Linked DNA regions of Oreochromis niloticus. The protein of the gene in region 1 interacts with the protein of each later gene in a pairwise test. Links are inferred from orthologs where the notes say so. Each region holds a gene or a part of one and is shown in the gene's direction. Other genes may lie near its edges. The genes, in order: pex19, pex10, pex11b and pex16.

Region 1 (7,257 bases):
AGTTAGCCCTCCTATGCCGCTCTTGATTTTGTACAGCTCCACGAACCTCTCCATAATGGTCAAGCACAGCAAAAAGGAACCCTTTCAGGTCAACAGATGTAAGACAGGCAAATTCTGCTTCAACCTGAGCAATGGAAGAAGAGGGGTGGAGAGTACAGGCAGAATAAAAAAAAGATTCTTTGAGACCCAAATTTAAGCAAACAGTCATCTGAGGCCCATTAGAGAAAACACAAACACACAAAAGCAAACAAACAAAAAGATGCACTTTACCTGCCGTTCAGCGAACAAGGAAGTTCAGAGAACAATAAGCTCTGTCTTGAAATCTTTTAAAGTAGAATGATTGTGAAAATGACTCATGTGATGTAAAACTTTAGTAAACGTGCGATGAAAAGAACACTGAGTAAAAGGACAAGTAACAATTTCCTTATTCCTCAGATGTTTACCTTGATGAGCAATACTGTTTTAGTCCAACTGCCTCATTAAAGTTACACAACAGGCTTTTTTCATTAAAGCCAGCAAGTCCATTACATACTCCCTTTTTAGATCTGAAATACTGTGCACATTCTGTGTATATGTAGTGGACAGCAATTTACCCAAAAGAGTGCAAAGTTTGCAAGTCCAACTCATTTAAATAACAAAGACAGATGTGATCATCTAGACCTGTGAAAATAAATTAATGACAAACCTGCAGTTATGGATGTTATTACAACCACAAGAACCTAAACAGTCTGCTCCATTGCTTTTGTTAATGAATCATTTGTTGGTAGCACGTCTGAATATTTAGTTTATGCCACCTGCATGCGATCATCAATAGTGCAATATTACTTCTTAAGAAGTACCCTGACACTACAATCTTTATATCATTTGTTCTACAGAGCTATTAAGTTACAATATAATCTGTGGTGTTTCCAGTATGACAAAATGCACAAATTGTAACTTACCATTTGACTCCACTGACAAAAATATATCCCCAGCATCAAGTTTGGCTTCACAGACCTAAAATAAGTAAAATAAAAATATATGTTATAATTATATTGTTTTCGCCATTTACTCATGTTTGCTAATTTTCTGACATATAAACAATGTTAGTTTTGTTACAATACAGAGAATGCAGTTTAATTAAAAGGTAAATTATGCAAAAAAAAAAAAAAAAACTTCTGCAGTATACCATACCAAAAATCAGTGTCTCTGATGCCAGTTATTTTATCACTACAGCTCTTTTAGTATGAAAACTCACACAATCTAGTCATACTGATCACAAGAGTTCAAAAATAAGTCAAAATAGTGAGCTGTTGTTAAGCATTAAGCATTTTTTGGGTAACAAATAACTGCACAATATAATTAAAGCAAAAAATAAGCACACTGGAGGACTATCTGATAAAAACTAATATAATGCTGGTTTGTAGACCATATTTTGTCTCAGTCCTCAGCGCACTCTTGCAGCTTAGCATGCAGCAGTTAATAACAACTTAAGTGATTACATAGGGGTAAACAGATGACAACAAGCATCGGAGTCCTGCCAAAAAGTTCTTTTTGAACCCAGTCAGTTATTGGAAATATTGCCAAAATGAACTTCCATCAAAATACAACAGCCTGTGAACTTGAAAGAAAAGGGCCACAGACGCAGAGAGAGAGCGTCACCTGTAACCATGGCAACGTAACAACAAAACATGACTGTCAAAACAAAACCCCGAACAGCCCTGGCCCGCTACAATATGTTGAAATAACAAACAGCTAGAATTACATTTTACAGTGTATGGACTGTAAAACTGACGCGTTTCCTGAAAATAGAAAAAGGAAACCCCCGACATCTGGTATCACATAGGCATTTATACAAGACTGATTTGACTTATTTAAATCGTTCACATTTCAACAATTAAGGCCTGTGGGGCTAATAACTAGATAGACATTTTTTTAAGTGTATTTTACTACGTAATAGTAGTTCTTCATGACACAGCTCAGGGGTTTTATTATTGAATTTCTAAATAAATCAATTTCCACATGACATTAAAAAGGAAGTTACACTCCTTTACACACTATGTCTTGCTCATATACGATTCTACTGGTTCTGAAAGTATTTATAGTTCTCGAAGTCCATTTAAAAGTAAAATGTTGATGCCTAACAATATATTTTCCAATATAATGACAAATGTGAATGTCTGTTCCATGATCTATTATATAGGCTAGTGCCCTGTGTGTTATAATGTCTCTGTAAAATTCATCTTGTGCTTTGTATTAAAAAAATTCTGATATATGATCGTTTATATAATGGTAATTATATTTTATGTAAAAAGGAGAGGGAGAGGAAGGAGGGGAAGGGGAAGGAGGGGGAAGGAGAGAAAAGAAGAAAAAAAATTTGTCACTGTAAATGAGATATATACTTTGTTGCCTGAAATGTACAGAGTGCCAATGTAGATAAACATGTACAGTGGCAATAAAAAAAAATAAATAAATAAATAAAAAAAATCTGGTGCACTACAGCTGTATCACAAAAATTGTGGCACAAAGTGTCTGAACTGGAGAGGATTCTAAGAAGCACAAAGAGATTAAAGTACTCAACTAGTCTTTCTAATTCAAATTAATTAATAATTTTTCCACTTTGCACACAGGAGTGCATCTGAACATAATGATATAAAGTTATAATATTTCTAATCTCTGATATTTGGCACAATGGCTGCACAGTTAAGGGGTTAGATGAGGACTAAATGAACTAACTATTGCTCAGAATTCAGTAACCCACGTTTTAAGAACAGCATCTTACATGTTCATATCATGTCCAAAAATACAACACGTGATATAAAAAACAAGGGAAAATAAATCAGGTTCTCTATCAGCCTAAAACTAAGGATAATAACCACTATAAACTGTAATGATATTGATTCACTTCATGTTTCAGAGTTTTCCTCCTCTTCTTTTGCTGCTCCCTTTAGCAGAGTTCACCACAGTGGATCATTTGCTTTCATCTCAGCCTCTGTCTACCATGTCAATTAATCTTTCTGTCTGGCAGCTCCATCTTCAACACCCTTCTTTGCATGATCCAACCATTTCAGCCTTTCCTTACTAACTTTGTCTCCAAGCTATTCAACCTGAGCTGCCCCTCTGATGTAACCATTTCCAGTGATGGTGCCATGATCTCCAAGATGACATCATAACAGGTGATCTTGTAAGCCTTAAACTTTTTTTTCACTCTTGCTGCTGTCCTTCTATCATACATCACCCCTGATACTTGGCTCCACACACTCCTCCCTGCCTGCACTCTCTTCTTCACCTCTCGTGTGCACCATCCATTGCTTTGGATGGTTTACGCAAAGTACTTAAAATCAACTACCTTCACTATCACCACTTCTTGCAGCTTCACTCTTACACCTGTCTCCCTCTCATTCAAACACATGTAATCTATCTTGCCTTCTACTTATTTTCATTCCTCTTCTTTCCATTGCATACCTCCATCTCTCCAGGCTCTCTTCCACATGCTGCCTGCTCTCAATATAGATCACAATGTTATCCACGAACATCGACGTCCACAGAGACTCCAGGCTGACCTCATCTGCCAACCTGTCCAAACAAGAAGGTGCTCAGAGCTAAACCCCGATATAATCCCACCCCCACCTTCAACCCATCTATCAGTTAAACTGCACACATCACCACTGTCTCACTGTCCTTATACGTGTCCCGCACCACCCTCACACACTTCTCTGCCACTCCTGACTTCATTCTATCACACGCTTTGGCTAGATCCACAGTTCAAGTCCTTTTAATCTTCCCTATACTTCTCTATCAGGACTCTCAAATAAAACAACTGTAGTTTAATGTTTGCGAGTTTTAAACTGACTAAATGTACAGAGCAGTGTGGTTTCTTATCAATGACATTTACAGATACAGAATTTGTCCATTGTAATAATAAGAACAACGAGGTGAAGATGGGATAAACACCATGTCCAAACAAAATCTGTAAAATATTTATAATTTAATAAAAGTAGGATACTTTAAAATAAAGACAATCTCAAAGAACAATGAAATAAAGGCAAATTGTACAGTGAAAATGACACAAAAGGGTGACCACAATTAAATAGAAAACATTTAAAAAGTCACATAAATTCTAATAAAAACAGAAATTAAATACAGGAAGTATTATGTAAACATTTGTGCTTTTGTGTGCGCGTTTTCCATAACACTAAACAACACTCCAGAGTAAAATATTTAACCGGCCACGAGGCGGCGCTACATTTAAAATCAGACTCGGGTGAGTGACGTAGAGGTGTTCGCGACATTTTTACAGCAGAAGCGGCAGTTTCCGCGCTGGGTTGGAGAAGGCAACATCATGGCGTCAGGAACAGGAGGGTCGTCCGATGGACACGATGCAGAGCTGGAAGAATTATTAGACAGTAAGACTCGGCATTAATATTTTATCAGTGTGTGTATTTCTGAACACAGCAGTGGGATTTTCGTGCAGCTTCGTGGTGTCGCCGTGTCCTTTTTTGTTGTTGTTGTGCTTCCACCGTGTCAGGGCTTAGCTCAACGTCAGGTGCTCCTGCCCGGGTCCCAAAGATCTGCAGAAGTAATGTTCAAGAAGAAACGTCAGCACGAATCGCTTCATGTCTCTGCTGTCAGATAACTTTATCCGGGTTCAGTTTGTGCCCTTCATCGTGTATCTGCACAGAACACGGAGTCAATTTCCTTAACGACATATTTTGTTCAAGGCAAATTTTCAAAACAACCCAGCTTAGGATTTAAAGTGTTTTATTTTTCCAAATATGTATAAAGGCTAAATTATATACAGTTTTATTTTCTCAACAGTAGGTTTTCAATATAAAAGACATTCATAACAATAATAAAACAATCAGAAAAGGGCTAAAAATCTTCAAACCACTTTATATATTTTTCCTTCAATTTAAAGTCATCATTTGTCTTACATAAGACAACATATTATTGTGTTATGTGCACCAAATTCTGACCCTTCCATCCAAATGTTGCAGCAGAAATCAAGACTCATCAGACCAGTCAAACCTTTTCTAAGCTTCTAGTTTTCAAATTAGTTCTTCGTTGACAGGAATTTCACCTGGCGTGGTCTTATGCCCCTGTAGCCCTTGTACTTCAAAGTTTGATGTATTTTGCATTCAGAGATGCTTTTCTGTGTTGACTGGTTGCATTGAGTGGTTATTTAAGTTAATGTTGCCTTCCTGTCAGCTCGAAGCTTCCTGGCTATTCTCTGACCTCTGACATCAACATGACATTTTCACCCAGAGAACTGCTGCTCACTGGATCTTTTCTCTTTTCACACCATTCTCTTTAAACCGCAGTGATGGTTGTGTGGGAACATCCCAGTAAATCAGCAGTTTCTGAACAACCATTTCATATTCTAAGTTACTTAAATAACCTTTCTTTGCCACTCTTGTGGTCAGTTTAAGATTAAGCAGGTTGTTGTGTTTTGCTAATTAAAGGTCAAAATGAGTGTTTGAAGAATGAAGTGATTGTTGATTAATTGATTAGTAAAAAAAAAAAAAAGTCACTGCCTTTGTGTTTTAAAATGTGAATATATTATGCTTTTGCTAATTTTCTTTAATAATGAAAATAATCCTTTTTTATTTTGAACTCAGAATGAGTTGATTAAAAACAAGAATTTTATAGAATAGACAATTTTATAGTTCAGAAAAATTGCTGCAGCATCATATGCTGCAGCAGGATGTCATATGCTGACATCCTGCCCATCAGTTATCCCAGTTATCCCATAGCAATGGGACAAACCCATAGCAATGGGATAACTGGATAATTATTTGTCAGTGAATATGAAACCATTAAATGCATTTTGACTGAATTGGTTCTAATGTCATCGCTTTCTTTCAGGTGCGTTGGATGACTTTGAGAAGGCGTCCGTCCCTCCAGCCCCTGAACCTGCAGCCGCTTCGTCCTCAGCCAGCAGTGGTGCACAAAAGGTGCTTGCGAAATAATTTAGAATAGAATGTTTAGAATAGAAGGCCAGCAGCAGCTTCCGGTTCAGATTTTTCTGCCTCAGGACACGGAGGAAGTGCGGCCGCTGCTGGGCCTTCTTTACCGGGGTGATGGTGTTGTGGGTCCAGGTGCCCAGAAACCTGAAGGTGGAGACAGATTCCACCCGTTCTCCATTTATAATCAGTGGGGAATGGACCTGTCTGTGCCTCCTGAAGTCCATTATGAGTTCTTTTGTTTTAAGGACGTTTAGCTTCAGGTTATTTTCTAAGCACCAGAGGGACAAGTTCTCTACATCCGTCCTGTATGCTCTCTCATCTCCATCAGAGTTGAGTCCAACCATGGTGGTGTCCCGGTGGCAAATTTTTAAATAAAAGTTTGGCTAATAGTGAATACCAATACTTTTTTTTTTTTTTTTTCAGTTTTTTCAGAATCAGAATCAGAATCGTGTTTATTGGCCAAGTATATGTGCAGACAAATACAAGGAATTTGGTTCCGGTAGATGGTGGCTATCAAGCACAGCAATGTAAAACACACACACACACACACACACGTCTATATATACATTACACATGCATACACATACATACACAAAGCTGTGTAAACCAACTATAAATAACTAAACTTATATACATAAAATACAGAAATGAAATGAGGTGGAATGAATACTACAGAATGTACATAAGGTGCAGTTGCAGTCTGGCAGTGGGGAGCAGTGTGACAGGTCAACTGTTTAGGAGGGAGATGGCGAGGGGAAAGAAACTGTTCCTGTGTCGGGTGGTCCTGGTCTGCAGGCTTCTGTACCGTCTGCCAGAGGGCAGTTGTGTATTACTGTTGTGTATTCCCCATAATGTTAGGAAAACTAGGAAATGTTGATTTTAAAGAAAGAACTGAGACAATTTGAAGTCTTTTCAGTCCTTCATCACTTTTTTTTTAACATTTCACCACCAAAAAAACTGAGGTCACACAACAGATAAACATCGCAACTTTCTTATTTCCTGATATCAGTAAATATCAGTATTTGCAGATGGCAATATTTGACTGATAAAGCAGTGCTTTTCTGTCTTTTTCTGTTAATTTTCTATCCAAAACTGCAAACTAGAAAGTGTCGGTGTTATTTTAGTTTTGAGCTTTCAAATGTTGGTTCTTTTACTATTAGGAAGCAAGACTGCTGCAGGTTTACATCAAGTGTAAGCTAGAGTCGGGTCTAGAACATAAAAACAAAACAGTTTCAATTCAGATGGAGTGAAAAGAAGAACATCTCCCTCAGTTTTTCCTTATTTCTAAATAAGGTATTTTGGGGTTTTTTTC
Region 2 (6,941 bases), on another chromosome or scaffold:
TCATTTCATATCTCCTGACAAATGAAACAGCACCAAATATTTGAATCAGTCACGTCACCTCTGGTGTTTCATAGTGAAGCCTCAGCGTCATCGGTCATGTGATTACAAAGATCTGACATAAGCCACGCCACAGTGAGATGACACGCTTCGGCTGAGATGAAACAAGCTTCAGAGTCTCAGTGTCAAACATCTCTAATGACGCCTCGTGGACTGTGGCACGTTCCTCTTACTGCATCCACATCGTATTGGCACGATGTTGATGTGTCGCTCAATTGTGCCATCTGCTAGAATTAAAGAAATATTGCAGGCGACCCGGAAAAAATCGCTGTGGAGACTAAACTCGGTTCATTCACTCTGACATCTGGACACCAAAGGAATGATAATGCATTATGCATAAACAAGAATGATGTGAATCATTATATTTGTGTGTGCAGTGTATAATTTCATGGGGTTACAAACATAGATGTGTGACGGCACATGACAGAAAGTGCTTTAAGTGCTCAAAGTGTTTGTTTTTAAGGCAGAAGGCACAGAATATGAAAAAAAAAAACTAAAAACCAGCTTATTGCAGGACTTCACACATACTGTAGTGTGCATCCATGTGGGTTTACTGGATATAAATACAGGCTCCATATTTATGCAAAGGTGTAAAGAAGGTTGGTTTTAGGAGTGATTTATGTGGTCAGACGCTGATGTTGGACAAGAAGAACTCAAATTTATCCCAGAGGTCTTCTATCAGGTTAATGTCTGAGTGGGTGAGTGAATACTTTTGGCAGTACAGTGTAAGTTTATGACATATTGTATCACAACTTTTTGGCCACTGGGCAGACATGCCAGTGTGTAATATTACAGAAAAACCAAGGTGAAAGAGAATCGATTGAAATGATTGTCCTGAATTCCCTTCTTTGTTTGTGGTGTGGGTTTGTATTCAGCATTTTTTTTGGCCCACTGGTAAGTTTGCTGGTTTACATTTTGAATTCTTGGCATTTAATTTAAAGATCAGCCTGCAAGTGAATATGAAGGGAACTCATTTCTGAATCCAGTGTTCAGAGTATATCCTGCATATACTGGGCTACTGAACTCTGTCAAACTCTTTGACATGCAAAATGACCTCAGTCTGTTTTTGTTGCCCTCATGTGAACTGACCAGTGTCAAAGTCTTTACTCAGTAACTGTAAAGTATTACCATTTACTTTACTCTTTACTTTTAAAGTAATGCAGGATGTTCTTTACTATCACCAATGTGAGTCACAGATAACGTGTCTAACAGTCATGTGTGCTTGCTCAGGTATTGTACAGTGAATGCAAACACCTTCCTTTGATCCATGATGCCATTAAAACCTTCACCTTCACTGAGTCGCCTGTAAGCTGTATTATATAATCTGACTGTCAGGGAACAGATTAATATTTCTCTGTGCATTCGCGAACCTTCAGCTCGTCGACCGAGCCATCATACACTGTGCGCTGTCTCAGAAACCTGTTTGTAGACAATACGAGGTTCATGAAACATGACAAGTTTCTGTTGTAGCTGTGGAATCCCAGCCTCTCCTTGTGTACTGCTAGTGATTTAGTCCAAGTCCTTCCCACACCTTCCTCTTTCTATTCGCAACATAGTAATGGTATTAAAGTAGGTGCCGAATTGAAGAGAGGGAAAGAAAAGATCCAGACTCCTCCACTCACACAGAGTGAAGCTCAACTTCTTGGTGTGCTGGATGGTTGGGTCAGCTGTTCAAGGATGGAGGCAAGCGCTAAGAAAAGTCACAGTGAGAGAATAAAAGTGGACTCATAATGAGACAACTCCAGCAGCCCAGGGGACAGCAGTAAAAAAAATGGTTCTGCATTTCCAGGCAGATCGCAGCACAGCATGGATGCATGTATTTACCCTACTTACAGTACAGACTGAACTAAAAACACCAGCTCAGCTACTGCACAGAGTTAAAAACCTGTTTCCAAAAACACTTGGATTCCATGTAAAGTGTAAATAAAAGCAGAATATAATGATTGTTGCTTATGACTGATTATGTTTTAAAATTCTTCCATATTGTAGCAGAGAAGAAAAACAATCTGGAAAAAGTTGCTGTAGTTTAAAAATGAAAATGTTTCCCTTTAAAGATTAGATTAGGCCAGTTTGGCATCCAGACTCATATAATTCAGCATTAATGGTGCTTTCACAAACGTGGCAGTAGCTCATGCTACAATTATACAGTCATGTGAGAAAATTAGGACACCCCATAAAATAATCAGCTCTTTATTAATAAATGTTCACGTATCAATGTCCAAAGTCATGTTTTCGCGTATTACTGGAAAAGAAAGTGACTTAATTGCAATTAAACAACAAAAATTAAACGATTGTTACACATCGTAAAGATATGAACAAAAATGTGTATTTTAATGGAGGAAAAAGTTAGGACACCCTACCCCCTAATAACTAGTGTTGCCCCCTTTGGCTGATATAACTTCAGTGAGGCTCCTTTTGTAGCCTTCTACCAGTCTCTGACGTTGATCAGAAGCAAGTTTGGTCCACTCCTCAATGCAGAATTCTTTCAGCTGTGAGATGTTTGAGGGTTTCTTGCATGTACAGCCTGTTTCAGGTCACCCCACAGCATCTCAATGGGATTAAGATCAGAGCTTTCACTTGGCCAATCCAGGACTCTCTGCTTAGTTTTAGCCAGTCCTTGGTGGATTTGCTGGTATGATTTGGGTCATTGTCATGTTGCAGTGTCCAGTTCTGCTTCAGCTTAATTTTTTTAACAGATGGTTTTCACATGTTCTTCGCCCTCTGATACACAGTAGAATTCTATGAGCTGGCCAGATCCTGCTGAAGCAAAGCATCCCCAAACTATGATACTGCCACCTCCATGCTTCACAGTTAGTATGAGGTTCTTTTCTTGGAAGGCTGTATTTGGTTTACGTCAAACATGTTTACTGCTCTGGTGTCCAAATAATGCAGTTTTAGACTCATCTGTCCAAAGAACATTATTCCAGAAGTCGTGGTCTTTGTCTACGTTCTCTCTGGCAAACTTCAGTCTGGCCTTAATGTTTCTCCTAGAGAGCAAAGGTTTCCTCCTTGCACACCTTCCATGAAAGTCAAACTTGTGTAGTTTCTTTCTGATAGTAGAGTCATGCACGTTCACATCGACAGTAGAGAGCCTGCTGTAGTTCCTGTGATGACATTTTAGGTTTTTTGATGACTTCTTTGAGCATCTTGTGGTCTGCTCTGGGGGTGAATATGCTTGGACGGCCAGACCGGGGCATGGTGGCAGTTGTTTTAGTGTCCTCCACTTGTAAACAATTTTCCAAATGGTGGAATGGCTAATGTCACATTCTTTTGAGACCTTTTTGAATCCCTTACCAGACTCACAAGCGGCCACAATCTTCTTTCTGAGGGCATCAGACAGCTCTTTAGATCTCACCATGGTGCTCACTTCAACACTTCGGCTTTCGAACTATGCTATGATAACTAGATGGATGGTCACCCACATTTTTAGCTTATATAGGACAGCATCCATGGTTTCCAGAGGAAATGTCTAACTGTGAGTGAACACTGTGCCTGAGTCCGTCAGTCGGTCACGTTTTCTTTCAGTCAGACCTGTAAGTGCTTTCACTGTGTCTAACTCATCTGTTTGACGTACACACACAGATCTTTACATTATCAGTTTTTAAGAATTTTGATTGTTTTCCTCCAGTTGTTTCCACCAAGTACATGAGCACTACAATGTACACTGACTCTTCTTGAAGGGTCAGGTGGTCTTTGACAAAGAGTGAGTAAAAAACAAAGGTGGTTTTGTTTTGTTAGGAGTGTATGTTTTAAAAGCTGAACACATAATATAAGATGACAGCTTGATACCTTGTTAAACACAATCGGATGAAATCCAAACCTTGTGCGCTTGTAGTGCTCCTCCCTGCCCCTGAGAGGCGCTGTGAGTTATAGGGTTGGCTGTCTGTCTGTTTGTACAGCAGACAGTTCCGGTAATGTTTCCTGGAGCGGCTCAAAACTCCGCAGCTACTCTAAACACTCTCAGTGGATGTTAGTGGACGTTGAGAGTGTGCAAAATGCAGCTCGGATCAGAATAAGAGCAGTTAGGTTTGTTTTATCTGGTGTAGTGACCGGACGACTTGACTTCAGCCTGCGTGTGAATGAAGAGCAGTACCCTGGACGGTGATATCTCGGTGTCACAGCGTGTGACCGGCTGTACCGGACGATGCCCCTGGCTCCTGCGACTCGGGCTCAGCTGATTCGGTGCAGTCAGAAGGACGACTATTATCGAAGCTCTCTGAGGAACAGCGCTAACGACGCCTTCCAGACTCTGGCCGGTAAGAGAAGCACAGCTAAACCGGCACTCTGTGATTCTGGGTATAAGGACTGAATGTCTTGTTTTAACGTAGTTCACTTTCGAGCTCGTCCTGCGATGCGACAGGTGTTTGTCTCCCGGTGTAATCACGGTCTGTGACTTCAGGTGTTTCTGATGTCTTTACTTTTATGGGGAAACAGCCTTTAGTGAGCAGGATTATTTACAAAGGGGTTATATATAAACTGTAGATCTAAACTGGATCCTTATGACTCTGTGATATTGTAACTACATTGTAACCAATCCAGTCTTTTTTGGCCTCGTAAAATATCTTCATAAAACTATGGTTATAGTTGTTGGCCAGAAATATTTTTTTGATGTGAATGAGATTTTTTAACTGGAGAAATAAAGAATATATAATAATAATATAATATAATAGAATAATAGAATAATATATAAACGTCACTTTGTCAAAAACAGTTTTATTTATATAGCACCAAGTCATAACAACAGTTGCCTCAGACGCTTTATATTGTAAGGTAAAGATTCTACAATAATACAAAGAAAACAGAGAAAAACCCCAGAATCAGATGACCCCTGTGAGGAAGCTCTTTGGCGACAGTGAAAAGGAAAAACTTCCCTTTTAACAGGAAGAAAATAGCATCATAACTAAGGGAGGATTCAGGGTCACCTGATCCAACTGTATGCTTTATCAAAGAGGAAGGTTTAGAGCTCGATCCTAAAGGCAGAGAGGGCGTCTGTCTCCCCAGTCCAAACTGGAAGCTGGTTCCACAGAGGAGCCTGAGGGCTCTGCCTCCCGTTCTGCTTTTCAGTACTCTAGGAGCCGCAAGCAAGCGAGACCCCAGTCTGATTGACTATTTCAAAATAACAGCCCTTTGAATTTGCTTATATATTAGCCACTTTTTTTGAATTCAGAATCCCATTAAAAGGAAGAAGAGCCACTCTGATTGGCTGTTGCACCTCACATGATAAGCTTACACTGATGTGTGCATTAGACAGTTTGCAAAACTAAGCGGGGATCTCAAAACAGCAATGGACAGCATGATAGCTACAATGAATAGTATTCGCTCCAACACAGCTTCCTCCACATGCAGCTCTCAGAAATGTCCACTGAGCACACTGTTGTCAGGTGGTTTTCATGGATTTGCTGTGTATGTGTGAAATATGGCCGGTTTCAAAAGGAAACCATGAATAAACATGACTTGTGTTGCTGTTTATCTGTCCCAGATAAACACACTAACATTGTTACTGCTGTATACCCTTACAGTGGTGTTCGGTCAATTTCAAGATTTTTAGATTTTAAAATAATAGCACTTGTTCGTAATAAACACCAACATGTACCTGAAAATAAATGTCAAGCTAAATTACTGCAGTAATTTTTTTTCACTTGTATGAATCATGGTGTATTTTGAAGTAATGTCGCTGCTACATATGTTTGTTACATGTTACTGACTGCTGCACATGTGTGTGTTTTGACGTAAGCATTTGGTGTTTGTATCATCTCTGCTCTGTTGGACCGTTTAGCAAAAATCAGCCCATCTGACCTAAAACAGTTATGATATAGGGAGATTTTCTCCCCCAATAAAGGAATATTTAATCTATAATCTACTCTTTATTTGATCAGAAACATGCAGCTTGTGAGTTTTCTTTTTACCCATGTAAGTAGAAGCTGAAGCTGTCAGACAAATACAAGTTTGTCTCTGTGTATAATCCATGTGTATATGCACTGTAAAGATATTTGTCTGTGGGATGAAGCATATTAATCAAACATATTTCATGTTAGGCATTATATTACATTATATTGCCAAAGTGAGGTAATTGTAACCTCTGTATGTTTTCTTCATCTCTGTAGGATCCAGACGATGGCTGGAGTGGAGGAAGGAGATCGAGCTGTTGTCAGATCTTGCATATTTTGGCCTAACAACATTCTTGGGTAGTCACCACAAACCATGTTCAGTTAATGCATTTAGCTGATTTCCTGTTTTGATTGATGGTTCTCCTCTCCAGGCTATCAGACTCTGGGTGAGGAATATGTTAACATTGTCCAAGTGGATCCCACTAAACGTCAGATCCCCTCTCCAGCCAGACGAGGTGTGTTTGTCCTCTGCCACGCCTTCGTTCCTTATCTGTTGGACAAGCTGCTGGTGTGTCTGGAGAACGAGCTTGAAGGCGGGCAAGAGAGCCGCGGTCGGCAGCAGGTGGGGTCCGTGCCATGGAGCCTCGAGGCTTGGCTGAGGAGATGGGTCCAGAAAGCGGCGGCGCTGTGTTCAGAGCCCCAGAGGAGGGCGTGTCTGAACGCTGTGTTTGTCCTCCAGCAGAGCCTGACCCTCCTCTATCGCCTCCACTCGGCTCTGTTTTACGTCACTGGCTCGTTCCACCACCTGTCCAAGAGACTGGCTGATATTAGTTATGTAGGTAATTAAAAAAATCCAGTGCTGTGGGAAATATTTGTCCCCGAGTTATTTCTTTTTGTTGTTTTTTGCATATTTGTCATCCTGACACGCTTCAGATCATCTTTGGTTTCACTGTGGATGAATTCTGTGCCACTCTTCTTTGCAGAATTGTGACCCTGATTTTACTTGGAGTCCATTGAAAGTGACATTTCATCCTACAGCTCGTATCTTCATGAATC
Region 3 (7,827 bases), on another chromosome or scaffold:
ACCTTGTGCAAAGAATAAACACTGATACAGATGTGCAATCAGCACGATCAGAGGAAAAGTGTCTCAAATGCTTGGCTACCTAACATTCAGATAATCTTTTTTTTGTTTTTTTGTTTTTTTAAACTTTCTTTTTATTGTTTTTCTTTAGACACTATACGGGGGGGGGGGTAGGGGGGTAACAACAAAACAAAACAACAACAAAAAATAAATAAAATAAATAGTGCAAGTAGGATAACAGAGACAAACAAACAAACAAACAAAAAACAACAGCAACAACAAAAAACAACAAACAAAAAAAAAAAAGGAAAAAGAAAAGCCATGTTGGATCTCCTTGTTTCTACAGTTTGATCATTTCTCATTATCAGTGTGTTGGTCTTTATCCTGTTAGGTTTGTGTACTCAGTCCATTTCTCCCACTTTTTATGGTATTGATCTTCCTGAGTCCTTATTCTGTAGGTCAATTGTTCCATGATTTGTATTTCATCTATAATTTTTATCCATTCGTCCTGTGATGGTGGGTCTATCTTGTTCCATTTTCTTGTAATTGCCTTTTTACAGGCAGCAAGCATAATTTTCAATATGTATCTATCTTCTTTCATCACATTTCCCGGAATGACACCAAAATATAATAATGTACAAGTCTTAGATACAACATAACCCAGAATTTTACCTATAACTAAATGAACATCTGCCCAAAATTTTGTAATCTTGGGACACAACCAGAACACATGGGAATGATTCACATCTACCTCTCCACAGCCCCTCCAACACGGCTGTGGTAATGAGGTATATTTGTTCTTAATTTTAGGTGTTATAAAAAATCTAATTACATTTTTCCAGCAGTGCAGTCTCCAGGCACGTGATGATGTTGTTGACTGCTGTATTTTCCAGATTTGTGACCATTCCCCATCAGATATGTTCACTCCCAACTCTCTCTGCCACTTCGGTTTTACATATGTTGTCGTACACCCTTTCGCCTCCATTATATGCTCGTAAACTGTAGAGATTATTCTAATTTTTTTTGCTTTGTAAACTTCAATTATGATTTTAATTATCGAATTTTTATCCAGATCTACACTATGTTTTACTTCTTTGTTAAAAAAGTCCCTAATCTGTAAATATCTGTAGTGATCTTGATTACTTAGTTCATATTTTTGTTTAATCTCCTGGAAACTCATAAAATTCCCATCTTTGATTAGTGTACACATCGCTGTTAATCCAGTAGGAATCCACTGTTTAAATCTTCGGTCCATAGAACTGGGTGTAAAACCCTTATCATAGGCTATCCATCGGATTAATCCAAGCTCTTTTTCTAGTTTGTATTTTCGTATCAGGTTAAACCATATTTTAAACGTAAACTGAGTGACTGGATTCAGCTGTTTGATTACTCTCATCATTTCTTCTCTGTCTCCTATAAGGCTTTGAATTTCTCTTCCTTGTACTGATTTTTCTAAATTCTTCCATTTGGCTTCATAATCATTGTCACACCAACAAATGATATACCTGATTTGTGCAGCATAAAAGTATGCCTCAAGATTTGGGAGTGCCAAACCCCCTTTATCTAACATTCAGATAATCTGATTGAAATATTTGTTTCTATATTTCATCTATAACATTAAGATATTTCTTAAATACCAAAGCATGAACATGAAAAATACACTGGGTACATATTTATCAGAAGCTACATAATTGAACTGATGTGGACAGAGGTCGGAGCCAGCAACCCGCTCTAACCCAAAGTCACTTTGGACACATAATTCCTGTTTATCCTTCCTTAGATCCTCGACCTCTTTGGACAGGTCTTCTGGAGATGATGCACACATGTCCAGTTCAGGGGTGAGCTCTTCTTGCTCTGGTTCAGTGAGTCGCTTCATTCTGTCCAAAACACGATGATGAGTCTTTTTGACCCGGAACACAAACTTGTTTAACCATGAAATGAACACAACATGAGGATTAACAAAGGGTTTGTGAGTCTGCTACAGAAAAATATCTGTTGCAAATACAGACTTTAATGAGCTGGAAGTAATAAAAGTGTATTGTTGTAAAAATGTTTCATTTGAGCAAAAAACAAAACAAAACAATTTTTTTCTCTTTGTCTTTTTCTGGGTGTTGGTTGTTCAGGAAACTCCATTTGGAAATGTTGGTCAAAGTTACCGATGATTGTTGGTTAGTTCACCTGTAAAGTCAATCTTGTTGTTCTGTGCAGCATTTTTGGGCCTCTGTTTGCCTCAGGTTGTGTCTCAGGTGTCTCAGGTTCTTCCTCCAGTTGTTGTAGAGGAACCACAGCTATAAAAAATGCACTATATAAATATTTGGTAAAAGAAAAAAAAAAACTCAGTCTTTGTTATATAATAATAAAAATAAAAACAATAAATCATTAATGAATTAAAATGTGTTCTTCTTACTAAATAATCATTTCTTTCTTTAAGCTAATCTAAATTTAAGAGCACATTAAACTTTGGTGGACTTTATTTATTGTAATCTGTTTTTTAAATGAGATTAACTAGTTTAGATTTATCTAATAATAATGTAAAACATTTCTGTTTTTTCACATATAAACACATTTGTTCTATGTAAGCTTTGTCTTTTATCTATTGCATATATGTAGCAATACAGTACAATAGTCTTTAAATTGTGCTACATTTGTATAGTATATGCTTCGTTGTTATTTTATCTACACAAATAATAACCCACTGCTCCGCCATTGCTGGAAGCCCCTAAGATAAGCACAGATAAGAACATGTAAAAAAAAAGAAGATAATAACAATAACAACAACAACAACAACAACAACAATAATAATAATTAAAGCTGCAAGCAGCGATATGAGGGCCCTCGCACCCCCGGCGGGTCGAGCCAAGCCCAACACCTAAAACCAGCGCTTCCGATCTGATGTCACATTGATGGAATTCATGCATTTAACCACCAGCTAAAATTTCATCTCATTCAACCATTATTATAGTCGTCCCACTAGGTGGCGCTCTAACCATTACTGACAAATGGCATAACAAACATTTCCGAGCTCGAGTCTCATCACGCCTGCGACCTTTGGGAGAGATTAGACATTGTGTTTTTGAGTGACAGCAGATTACTGCTTTTTGGCGAGTGATTGAAACTCCACATGCCGCCATGACCACCCCGTTTCCCTGAACGTAAAAAGCTTCGCAATTTAACATCACAAAGGTCTTTAGATTCCACACACAGGAGATCGCGTAAATCTAATGAAATCCCTTGGAGGAGTTCGTCAAAGTATGAGGCCTGAAAAGAGGGGAAAATGTCGCCAAATTTACACATTAATTTTAAAATGGCTGACTTCCTGTTGGATTTGGGATATTGCTCCAAGAGACTTTTTTGTACATCTTGATATCTCCAATAAGCTTGCCAGGTTTCAAACTCATACATAAAACACAGAGCAGGGGCTGTTGTTTTGAAATTTTGTAGGGGGCGCTGTGGAGCCATTTTGCGCTGTTCAAGGAAAATGAACATATAAAAAGAAATCCCTCATCACATTAGAGGTGTGCGCCAAATTTCAAGACTTTTTAAACTTTTCAAGCCCCTCAAAAGCCACTTCATCTTTCATGGTGAACTGCGCTGCCACCAGGGTGCGCCGTTCAGTTTATAGTCACAATTTTCTCACTGAAGCATCAAGAGGGACTGATGGTGATATTCACCGCTTTTGAGGTGGCCACGATGAACCTGTGAAAATCAGTACAACAAAATGAAAGACATGACATTTCCTGGTGCCACTAGGTGGCGCTCTACGTATTCCTGACAATGGGCATATCAATCTGTTCAGGGCGGGTCTGACATCATCCCTGTAAAATCTGGTACTGATCAGATTGGATTTCATTGAGTTACACTAATTTGTTTCTTCATGGCGAGACCTCAATGTTCGCCATGCTGCTGGGGTCACACCCTTCAGCGAAAACTCACAGTTTTCTCTGTAACCCAAGACCAACTCCTTAAGGCTTTCCTGGAGAAATTTGAGGCTGCAGATGTCACCCATTACAATACTGTACCCCAAAGTGTAAAACATGACATTTCCTGTTCCCACTAGGTGGCGCTGTCCCTGATGTCAAATATGGCAGTTGAAATATGTTCAGGGGTGGAGCCTTATCATATGTGTCCACTTTGGTCAAGGTCGGACAATGTATGACAGAACGAGAGGCAATAAGATTTTCATGGCGAGTCATCGAAATTCGCCGTGGTGCCACGGCCTCACAGTAACCCGAAAACTCAAAAGCTCCGCAATTTAACATGGCCCAGGTGTGTAGTTGACACTGACCAAATATGAAGCTTGTACGATGAAATTCCAAGGAGGAGTTCGCAAAAGTTCGAGGCGTGGAAATGGCAAAATTAGAGCCAAAATGTCACCTTCACTTCCAAATGGCGGACTTCCTGTTGGGTTTGCGTCAATGGTCCCACTGACTTTTTTGTTCGTCTTGGCATGATACACATGTGTGCCAAATTTCATACATGTAGCTAAAACGATGTGTTCGTAGGGCTGCATTTAACAAGGCATAGGTGGCGCTACAGAGCCATTTCCCAGTGCTCATATGTAAAACCATTAAAATACAAAATTTTTCACCAGACCTGGCATGTGTGCAAAATTCCAAGAGTTTTCGAGCATGTTAAAGCCCTCAAAAAGGCCCTTCTTTTGCCTGAATAATAATAATAATAATAATAATAATAATAATAATAAGAAGAAGAAGAAGAAGAAGAAACAGAGCAGATACAATAGGGCCTTCGCACAGTCAGTGCTCGGGCCCTAATAATAATAATAATAATCTACAGCGCTGGTTTCAAACTCCAGTCCACAGGGGGCGCCAGCGGGTCTCAGCAGCTCGAAGAAGAAGAATTAGAAGCGCTGGATTGACTCTCTTGTTTTCTACTCGGACAGCTAAGCGTAGAAAGCAGAGCTAAAAACTCATGGAGGAGCCCTTCTGGCATTAAAACAAACAACCGCACTAAAGCATTTAAAGCTAAGTTAGCAGTTTGACAGCTAGCCGAGCAGCGGGTACAGGCCGAGAGCCAACATGGACTCTTGGGTTCGCTTTAATGGCCAGAGCCAAGCCAAGGAGAGAGTTTTCAGGTGACGTTACCGACGTTTGGCACATTGCAGGTTGAGACGCGGGGTTCGTCGTGCTTCTTCATTTCTGCGAGTGTGATAAAACCGTCGGCTGGATGTTGCAGACTGAGTTCCGTGTTTGAAGCGGAACTTTTATCTGCTCAGTAGGAGCAGCTCTTCCTGCACTGGTTTCAAATCAAACGGCCTTATGATGCCAGCTCCAGCAGCACAGAGTAGTTGAGTTTGTTAAGCGCACTGCTTTCCGTCCTCGTCACGTGTGTCTCTGTTGATAATGACTGTACGTTGTGCGTTCACAGGGCTGCACAGTATGCTTGCACGCTGCTCGGATCCACTCTGCAACATGACGAAGCAGCTGAGGTCCGCAGAACTGTCAGTCAGCTGGAGGCACACATGAGTCTGACAAGAAAGTGTGAGTAAAACAGCCAGAGCGAGTCTGACTCGTTTCCACGTACCAAAGCTTAAGTGGGGCTGGTGTTGGTTCTTCCACAGTGCTACGCCTGGGCAACTCCGTGGAGGCCCTGGAGGCCGCCAAAAGGGCCATACACCTTTCTGACAGCGTGCTGAGGCTCTGCCTGACCATCAGTCACCTTAACAGAGCCATGTACTTTGCCTGCGACAATGTGCTGTGGGCAGGAAAAACCGGTCTCATCTCCAAACTCGACCAGCACAAGTGGAGTCAGAGATCTTTCAGGTGTGTGAGAAATACATAAATAAGAAATACATGCAGGACTGGTTGTTTAAACAGTCTCATGTTGCTCCACAGATCAAACTATATGTACATCTACTGAATTCTAACTGATCGCAATGAGGGCCTAAAAATCCTCCATGTCGTTCATTATTAACATTATGTTGTATTATTATAGGGTCTTTACACTATAAAGCACATTGGGGCAACTGTTGTTGTGATTTGGCGCTGTATAAATACAGCTGAACTGAGCTGCCTCCCCAGTGAGTCTCTGGTCCCTGTTCAGCTTTCTGGAAAACCTTTTTCAAGAGATACTAAACAGAACTTGTGTGTGGTGAAGTGTGCAGTTATGGCAGCCTCACCAAGGTTACAGAGTAAGTCGAGCCATTGGACAGAGCGACTGTAGTAACGCAGGATGAACCTGTTAATTAGAAGCAGTGGGTTTAATCCAGTTAATCGAGTGCTTCCGATTATGAGGTCTAAGTAATTTCTTGTTGGACTCAGGTTTCCATTTGCAGCTCCTTCAGTCCACATGTCTAACATGGCACTCGAGTGTGTAAGAATACACCAGACATTCCTTTGTGAAAGTGTCACTGAGGCTTTTAATTTGAAAGTACTTTAAGCGCTCATAATAAAAAGGTTCTGTAGAAATGTCAAGTCTGCTTACTGCTAGTGATAGTGAACCTGTTTCAGAGGACATGCAGTGCTTTCAACCAGAGCTGGTGTGATGCCTTTGTGTGGGAAATTAATTCATGGTATTTGTCTCATCTGTGTCTACTTCCAGCAGTTACCCATAGTGGTTTTGAGTTTGTATGACTAAAGTGACATATGCACTCAAAGCCTGATTTGAAGTGAGTGGTTGCAGTCATCTTCATATCAGGGTCACAAAGGAATCACATTTATCTTCTAGTGCTTATCACTGATTTCAGGTAACTGAAATGTAAAATTGAGTTAACACAAACTGTGTGGTTAAACCTGCAGGTACTACCTCTTTGCTTTGATCCTGAACCTGACCCGAGATGCCTACGAGCTGCACCTCCTCATGGAGCGCGAAGCACGTTCCAGAACCAGCAAACAGCCATCCTCCCCCAGTATTCCTCTCCCACCTGACCACCTTTCCTCTTCCTCCTCACCTGCCACACAAGCCATGAATTTTGGCTGGCTCTACAGACAGCTTCATCTGGTGGGGACTGTGCTGTACAGCAACCCGCCACTGCTGTTGGACCTGGTGAAGAACAGTTGTGATATCTTCATCCCACTGGACCGGTTGGGGATTTACCCTACAGGTCCAGGCTTTGTTGGGGCTTGTGGCCTGGCCTCGTCCGTCCTGTCCATCCTCACCATGGTTCACCCCTGGCTCAAGCTCAAACCATAAATTGTAAGACTTGGAGGAGATATTCATTTGAGGACTAGCAAGGATTGAGAAAATTCTAATGGGGTTAACAAAATTTTTTTTCCCCCGATTCTACACAAAGCAGTCCTGACTACGTGAGCCGTTGTACTGCCACCATGCTGTGTGATTGAGTTCCTTCAAATCTCTTGAGTGCTACTGAAAAGCTGAGGAGTTTCTAAAATGCTACATCAGTTTCACATATTATTTCAGACCTGCATGAACACGGTCGTTGCTTGGCCTTAGATCACACTGCTGCTTTACAACCCTCGCTTCCCTCATGTGAGGCTAAACCATGTTAGTTGCTGCCATTCTGCACATAACCATCACATCTCCAGCTCTCTATGACCGTGTCCGTAACAGAGTATAATCAAGGCAATATTGTCTGTGGACATCACTCTAGAACGTGTGATTTCTACCCTCTGTGTTTAACGTTTTTATAGGAAACCACCTTTCGACATCATGTGATTTTACCGTCTGCTCCCAGCAAGTTTGTATTTTAGATATTCTTTTCCATTTTGAACTACTAAGTGACTTAACTACTGGAGAAATAAATCCAAAGGAATTTGATTTGTCTGAATCACTACAGTAAAGTGTAACACGACTAGATCCAGTTGATACATGTAACGACTGGATCTATTGCATTTGTAGCCTTCCAAATTCCAC
Region 4 (7,539 bases), on another chromosome or scaffold:
TTAACAACCACATGGTAAAAATAAATTTGAAAAAATATAGTTTTGAAGGATTTCTGGTTTTGCTTCACCTTTCAGACCCCAAACTTACATCTATCGTGCTTACTGTGTCCTTGTAAAGAAGAATGGAAGAATGGAATTTTCCAGTAACACAGCAGAGTTAAATGGAAAGTGAAGGTGAAAGAAATGAAGGAAATCTAGACATCCGAGACTGGCACAGCATAAGACAACTTTTCACTCAGTTGAGCAAAACAATGCACTGGAGTCCCAGGATGAAAATACAGAGATGAAAGTGAGCATAATAGGTCAAATTTACTATTTATGGGGTTTTTTAATAAGAGTTTCACTCCCACTCACATCAGCCACGTAACCTCCAGGAGTTATTAGGCAGCAGCTCTGGTAAGAGAACTGAGAAAATCCAAGTACGCTCTTACACATCGTTTAGATTAATAAATAAACATTTCTGTGTTCTATCATCAGTTACTCAGTTTCTTTTCATGATGTTTTACATTTTTTGTAAAGTTGTCCTTATTAATATTAAGCTATTTAGCCAGGTATGGGAACAAAGAGTATTTGCCTGTGGGGTCTTCACCAGCTGTTGCTGCCGTGTTTACACAGCGATAACGCGAGTCTCCTCAGCGCTTAGCTGCAGGTACCACACACATCAAGCTGCTATGACTGACATCAAAAGTGCAAGCTAAAACAGAATTCATTCCAGTGCCTGCAAAGGAAGCCTTAGTTCATGCTGAGAGTCAGTTTGTTTAAGAGGGCACGTCACAGCCTCAGAGTGCCTCCACATCCACGGCCAGCAGGCGCAGGACCACATCTAGCCTGTTCATGCCTTCAGCTTTCTACTCACTGCTGCTTTCTGGGTTGAGGTCCTGTTGCAGGGCTGCTATGTGTCTGTACCAGCGCAGAGCGTGGACATGTTGTGGATCTGGGGGTCTGTGGAGGAGCTTAAAGGCTTTCTGGTCGACCTGGGTGGGGCTGAACCCAGCCAGGTAGCTGCGTGAGGTTAGGTAGTCATTCAGGGCCACTGTCAGTGCAGCCTCCTCACTTATCTGTAGCAAGAAGCCATACTCAAAGGCTGCAGAAACAAGAGGGCAAATGTTCGCAAAGAATTACCACCTTACTCCACTGGACAGTGGAATAACCAATGAGACTAATGACTTTGGTCAGAGCCAAGAATTACTCGATCAGTTGGAAAGTCGGCACACGTCCAATGTAAACTGCACTTATGAGTGAGTTAAATGAAACTACTCGCTACCCAAACATAGCCTAGCAGAACTAATGCTGAATAACACTGGCCTTTAGCCACTCACAGAGAACCTTATATATGTATAAGAAAACAAGAGAGGTGCAAGCACTGAGTGGAAACGGGAGAAAGCAAAAGATGGAGGAAAAAATACGTAATTAAGGATGCAGGTTACATGTCTTATAGAAGCAACCCGTGATTTTCATATTACTATTTGAGCTGTAATTCTAACTGCAGGTCAACAAGTATTTGGACAGGATCACATTTTTTTTATCGATTCAAGGGGCTGAAAATAAATACAGTAAATATATTGGTAAAACTGTTAATGTTACCAATGTTTTAAAGGGTCAGGTTTCACTGGTTTAAAGGTAAATTAGGAACATACTAATAAGCAATTTCATAGTCATTTTAGGTTAATTTCCTTCTTAACTTGAAGCTGAAAGTCTACACTTTAATCACACCTCGACTGTTTTATTTCATTGTTGTGCTGTATAAAATTTAAATTACTGACCTGAGAGTAAAAATCACAGTAAGCATACTACCACTACTACCAATACCAATAATAATAATACTAATAATAATTTCAATGCTTTCCATAAACCTTTGAAAAAATATCAAACAGAAAGGCGATACTTTCGGATGCTAATAATATTCTTAAAGATGACACGAAAGAAGCTGGAACTTAAACCCGAAATAGACTTAAACAAAACACTGTTCAACAAAAACACCCAACACCTTTCAGCTTTTAATTCCCCCTGGAAATATCCCCAAATAAACAGGATAATAACTGCAGTTTTTTGTTTTGTTTTTTAAAGTGCAGGTCTGCAGAAGTTAGCCTGTGTAAAATAATGAGGACAACAAAATTACATGTGTATAAAACATTTTCATAGCCAGTTCCATTTGACTCCTTATTTTATATGAAGAAAAACAACAATACATTTCAGTTTGTTAAATTACAAACGTATAAATCACACAGAGTCGAATAGGTTCACTAAAACACTATAAACAAATAAAAGAGAATAAACTGTAGTTACTTCTAACATTCTGTTTGACTGGATAAATGAGCCGAAGATGAGGCTACCTTTTTTGAACGCAGACAAATTGCTGAATAATATTTGCTGCCCTGTGTCTTTGCCCAGGTGTTAAGTATTGGTTTAAGCAGTATTTGTATATGAAATTCGGCTTGTCACTCATTGACAGTGTTTCCTTTAGCTAAGCGGCTCAACTGCACTTTGGGGCACAGCTCTACATATTAGCTAGCCTGAGCGTTAGCATATTCGCTGTGACACTTCATCAAAATGCGTTAGATTGTGCTGTCATAGCTTTATGCGGTTTTTCAACTAACGAACCCATAAAAGCAAACACCATATATTATTTACTGTACCCGGATCTCCCGAAGCCGACATTGTCACAGTAGTCAAAGGCTGGATGCTGATGCAACAATAACGTGCCCGGAAGAAGAACCCGTATAAACGAGGAGTAGGAATAGGAACCAAAGTGTTTGAACCTGAGAGCTGGCGGACATAAATGATGGTACACTCGTCAAAGCGGAAGTTGAGACAATGGGTTTTTTGTTTTGTTTTGTTTTGTTTGGCGTTTGTGTGTGTATGTTTAAGAAAAAGTTGGAAAAAATTTAAAAAATGATTTCTTGGTATTTCTTGGAATGTGGTTTTAAATCTCAGTGGAAAAGTACCGACATTCTGTAGTAAAACAGAAGTACAAATACTACTATTAAAAAAAATACTTATTCAAGTTGTTTATGCAAGTAAAAGTAAAAAAGTACAGTTTCAAACTCAAAATAAGAAAGTAAAAAGTAGCTCTTTGGAGGATGTTTCTATTTCTGTGCAAAGCTAACTGAACCGCGTGCTGTATTAACATAATGATCAAATAATATCAGGATTTGGGAATACAAACTGTTGTCAATTTTTTTTAAATTCTAATCATACTCAGATTGAATCTGGAAAAAAGAAAGAAAATAAAAAAATATATATATATTTTTTGTTGCCTACACTGTAGAGGGTGACTTTGCCTTTAAACAGGGTACAGTCAGGGGTTAAAGTGGGATTTAGCAGGTGGAGGAACCCTAAAATTGGCTGTAATGGCTCAATGTGGGGAAAAGAATAATAACACAATAACTTCTATTGACAGCTCCAGTATATTTTCTTAGTGTATAGGCTGTGATCAGCTGACCTGCTGCTCTTTGTGGATTTACACAAATTAATTCAACAAGGTGTTAGCAGGTGTTTCATGAGTTGTCCTGGCTGATTTCCATCCTCTACACTGACAGTACCCTGTTTATGCTGTCTGTTTTCTAGATGGTATAAATTTTTATGAAGGTGGAATTCAGTCAGTGGATCATCAGCTAAAATTCATTTGAATCTCTGCTACACTTGATCTAACCTGACTCTGACCCTGAACCCAAGGCTACTGTGCACCAGTCACACACTATTCTTTAAGCTTCAAATTTCCAGTTTATCAAACACCACTTAGCAGTCCTTACATTTAAATCTGACCTCTCTTCTTCCTCTCTTGTCCTGTCTTTCCTCGCTTTCTCCATCTCTGAGTGAAGTTGCCTCTCTTTCCTTTCTATCCCTGTGAAATACAGCAGCTGGACCTTTAGCTAGCAACACACTGTGAGACAAACTTCACACAAACAGTTTGTGTGTTGGCTGATTTTTGTTGAGCTGATAGAAACGCTATATTTGAAATTACCTGCCACTTAAAAAAAATCTCACTCCCTTTATGCTCCTCTTCACTAGAGGTACATGCTGAAGTACCACAACCGCAACTTAGGGACACCTGCAGTCATTCTGGTGTTGTGGCAAAAAAACAAAACAAAAAACACAGTCCGACTTTTAACCCCTGACTTTGGCACGCGTCCTAACTTTTTATGTGACATCCACCGATGATGATTATTAAACGAACAGGACTGCCTTTCATGTGTTCAAAGAAAATCTGTGAAAAATGAGAAACAGGAAGGAGCAGGAGAGGATGGTCATATTACGACTCAGACGTGGCCACACTAGTTTAAACAACATTATTCATAATCATAACATGGAAACGCAGTACAGGAAAATGTAATTACTGTGGAGACGAAGAAACTGTTGAACATCTTATATTACACTAACAGGAGTGTCAGGTGCTGACAAGGCAACTCCAAAACCTCCTCCTCGGTACAGTGATGGTTAAATCCTCTGATCTGGATCATATTGAAATAAAAAAATTTTAAAAGCTACTTTTCGGGCCACACTCCGTACCGGTTGGTGGGAGTAATGCACCGTTTCGCTGTTTGCCAACAGCCATGGGAGGCGGAAGAAGAAGAAGAAGAAGAAGAAGCGGAAGTTTACGGTATACTTTTAGAATATAGGAGTGAGAAGTCATAAAAGTAGATTAGCTGGTCTGTTGTGAGCACAGCGGTTAAATGCAGAGTGTGTCTTTCAGAGGAAGCTGAAATGTCTCACGTTAAGGAGTATTTGGACAAAGTGACGCGTATTTATGAACGCTACACCGAGTATGTGAGGAGAAACCCAGCTGCCACCGCGCAGCTGGAGAGTACCGTGCGGACTCTCTCTTACCTGCTCGCAGGTCAGTCGTAGAAGCAGTTTTTATATACAGTGTGTTGGGATTAAGGCTCTCCGTTTAGAAGTAGTGCAAAAGCTCAACTGGCGTTATGGTTGTTTTTTTGGAAATCAACGCTCCAGATCTCTTGTTAGTTTCACTTTAGCTCGGTAACACTAGCTACAAGTGCTTGTGCAGTGCAAAATGAATGACGGCATGTTTTCTTTGTTTGTTTGTTTTTTTGCAGGGAGATTTACAGATTCCCATGAAATATCTGAACTAGGTAAGTAGATGTTAAGGACCAACACAGAGACTAGTTAGCGCTAAGTTCTTTCTTGCATCAGCACCTTCTATATTAGTAGGAGTTTGCCATGTGAATGAAGAAATATGAATGAATACATAAATTCTGAAAAGCCAGAAGGCTCAGAGATCTCAGGAGAGACATTATGTTCTCTCAAATCCCAGATTATGTCCTGTTTTACATCGAGAAGTATCTTTGAAATAGTTCATTGGAGAATGGTGAACCTCTCCCAGCCTATGCGCCAAAACATTATACTAAACAAAATAAATATCTATTTATTTTTAGCATTATACAACTTTTTGAAATATCTTTTTCGTCAGTTACATAATGGACATAAATGGTTTGCAGATTAATTATATTACCGTATACTTACTTGGGAATAATAATGGACTGGTTTTGATATTAATATTGAGCTGTGAGGAAACTTTACAGGTTATATTATCACTATGCATTCTTTTCAGTTTTCTAAGCATTATGTGTCCACAAATGAACATACTGTATATAGGTCTTATGTAATCTGTGTACTATTCAAATATTTTCGTCATCACTTTGTATCTTTTTAGTGTACTCTGCCTCCAATCTCCTGGTGCTATTCAATGACCACATTCTGCGCAAAGGGCTGAGATGTACCTTTCCTGTGGTGAGCTCTGCTTTCATTCAAACAAAAATCAGTTCTCACAGTACAGTAGAAAAGAATAGCATTTACTCTCTTTGCAGAAGAGTGCAATGAAATTTAAATGGCTGTCCTTTGTGGTGCAGCAATAAAAACTAGAAATTCTAAAGAGATGCTAAAAAAAACTTATGGTCTTAGTCTATTGTTACCATGATCAGTTTTTATAGTATTAATGACCCTATAGGATTTACCAGAGCACAATAAGACAAATACACTGTATTGCCAAAGTATTCACTTACCCATCCAGGTCATTGAATTCTGTGGTTTAAAGCTCGCTGCCACTGGACACTAGAGCAGTGGCAGTCTGATGGATGAGTCAGTTGCCAGGAAAACGCCACTAGTCTGACTGCACTGTGCCGAGTGTAAAGTTTGGTGGAGGGGGGATTTTGGTGTGCGGGTGTTTTTAAGCACTCAGCGCCTTAGTTTCATTAAAAGGAACTCTTAATGCTTCAGCATACCAAGACATTTGGGACATTTTCATGCTCCCAGCTTTGTGGGAACAGTTTCTGGATGGCCCCTTCCTGTTTTAACATGACTGCGCACCAGTGCACAAAGCAAGGTCCATAAAGACATGGATGAGTGAGTTTGGTGTGGAAGAACTTGACTTGCCTGCACAGAGTCCTGACCACACCTTTGGGATAAATTAGAGCGGAGACTGTGAGCCAGGCCTTCTCATCTAAATGTGTCTGAATAGCCAGCTGTAGCTGCTTAAGGCTGATTCCAAAGGCTCCAATAATGCCCAGCATCAAATTATCATTAAACCAGATTGGTACAAAGTAGTTTTTGGTCTTTATACTTTTGTACTCCCTTCATAAACACTATAGTTGGGTGATTAAATTGTGCTAAAGAAGCTTGGCTTGTGATGAGTAGCAGTGTGGCTGCCTGTTCCTTCTGTACAGTTTTAAGAAGGCAGCTTGGTAACCAGTGCTAGTGTGAGCCGAGAACTTAGCACTCCACCCTGTTTTCCAAATATGTTAACTTCTGGTTTTTAAAACCAACATTACGGCAGCCAAAACACTAACACTGAGGCTCAAATAGTGGGGCCGAGAAACCAATGGCTGACATCACCGTGGCTGCATCCATCTTTTACTGTACGGTTTCCTTCAATAAAGAAACTATACAAAGACTTCAGAAACTGTGCATAGGATGTTGTTTTGGGAAGAAGTGAGGGGTTTCATCCTTCTTCATCTAATAAGTCGTCCATCCTTTGTATTGTGGTGTTTCTAGTCCATCTCTCAACAGAGGCTCCTGACTTGGCTGTCTGTGCTGGAGTATGTGGAGGTCTTCCTGGAGATGGGGGCCTGTAAGCTGTGGGGTGAAGTTGGACGATGGCTTGTCATCGGACTTATTCAGATTTTTAAGTATGACTTGGAAACTTGACTTTAATTTGAAATTATAAAAACACTGATACTGATTTTGCACAGGCTACATTTTAAGTTATTTTTTTGGAAAATGGAAAAGTAAAAATTACTACTGTACATGTGCAAATGGAGCTGCAAAAGAGAACATTAGCTTTCCTTCTGTGCCTATTGCTTTAATGCATAGGCACAAAATATAGTCTATGTTAGACAAATGGTGTTCCATCTTTGTGGTTGTTTCAACATGACAGTGTACCTGTCAAAGGACATTCCACAAAGATTGGTTTTAAATTTGGCATCACAAATTTAAAAGAACTCCAAAGAACCTTAGCATTCATTGCATGTCCACATATTTTTGGCCTTGTGGTGTGTAGCTGGGAGTGACTCTGTGGAAGAC

Evidence for each region.
Region 2: the proteins of pex19 (region 1) and pex10 interact in a two-hybrid assay, tested with the Homo sapiens proteins (4 studies listed by BioGRID and IntAct, with this or other methods). The link is inferred for Oreochromis niloticus from reciprocal best matches to the Homo sapiens genes PEX19 and PEX10.
Region 3: the proteins of pex19 (region 1) and pex11b interact in binary tests that used the Homo sapiens proteins (3 or more experiments, as listed by UniProt). The link is inferred for Oreochromis niloticus from reciprocal best matches to the Homo sapiens genes PEX19 and PEX11B.
Region 4: the proteins of pex19 (region 1) and pex16 interact in binary tests that used the Homo sapiens proteins (3 or more experiments, as listed by UniProt). The link is inferred for Oreochromis niloticus from reciprocal best matches to the Homo sapiens genes PEX19 and PEX16.

The regions. Positions count from the first base shown.
Region 1 is NC_031982.2:26,253,757-26,261,013, forward strand, and holds the start of pex19 (peroxisomal biogenesis factor 19), read left to right. Parts: upstream 1-4,253; 5' UTR 4,254-4,321; coding exon 4,322-4,385; intron 4,386-5,844; coding exon 5,845-5,933; intron 5,934-7,257. UniProt on the Homo sapiens protein: Necessary for early peroxisomal biogenesis. Acts both as a cytosolic chaperone and as an import receptor for peroxisomal membrane proteins (PMPs).
Region 2 is NC_031984.2:35,139,002-35,145,942, forward strand, and holds the start of pex10 (peroxisome biogenesis factor 10), read left to right. Parts: upstream 1-3,938; 5' UTR 3,939-4,201; coding exon 4,202-4,313; intron 4,314-6,161; coding exon 6,162-6,242; intron 6,243-6,316; coding exon 6,317-6,720; intron 6,721-6,941.
Region 3 is NC_031985.2:35,570,334-35,578,160, forward strand, and holds the start of pex11b (peroxisomal membrane protein 11B), read left to right. Parts: upstream 1-4,813; 5' UTR 4,814-5,033; coding exon 5,034-5,089; intron 5,090-5,096; exon of another isoform or gene 5,097-5,301; intron 5,302-5,382; coding exon 5,383-5,495; intron 5,496-5,575; coding exon 5,576-5,777; intron 5,778-6,752; coding exon 6,753-7,146; 3' UTR 7,147-7,827. UniProt on the Homo sapiens protein: Involved in peroxisomal proliferation. May regulate peroxisome division by recruiting the dynamin-related GTPase DNM1L to the peroxisomal membrane. Promotes membrane protrusion and elongation on the peroxisomal surface.
Region 4 is NC_031965.2:3,407,305-3,414,843, forward strand, and holds the start of pex16 (peroxisomal biogenesis factor 16), read left to right. Parts: upstream 1-4,521; 5' UTR 4,522-4,524; coding exon 4,525-4,600; intron 4,601-4,693; coding exon 4,694-4,837; intron 4,838-5,057; coding exon 5,058-5,093; intron 5,094-5,674; coding exon 5,675-5,751; intron 5,752-7,011; coding exon 7,012-7,145; intron 7,146-7,539. Other genes in the region: cars1 (cysteine--tRNA ligase, cytoplasmic), read right to left, coding at 857-1,084, 2,637-2,658. UniProt on the Homo sapiens protein: Required for peroxisome membrane biogenesis. May play a role in early stages of peroxisome assembly. Can recruit other peroxisomal proteins, such as PEX3 and PMP34, to de novo peroxisomes derived from the endoplasmic reticulum (ER).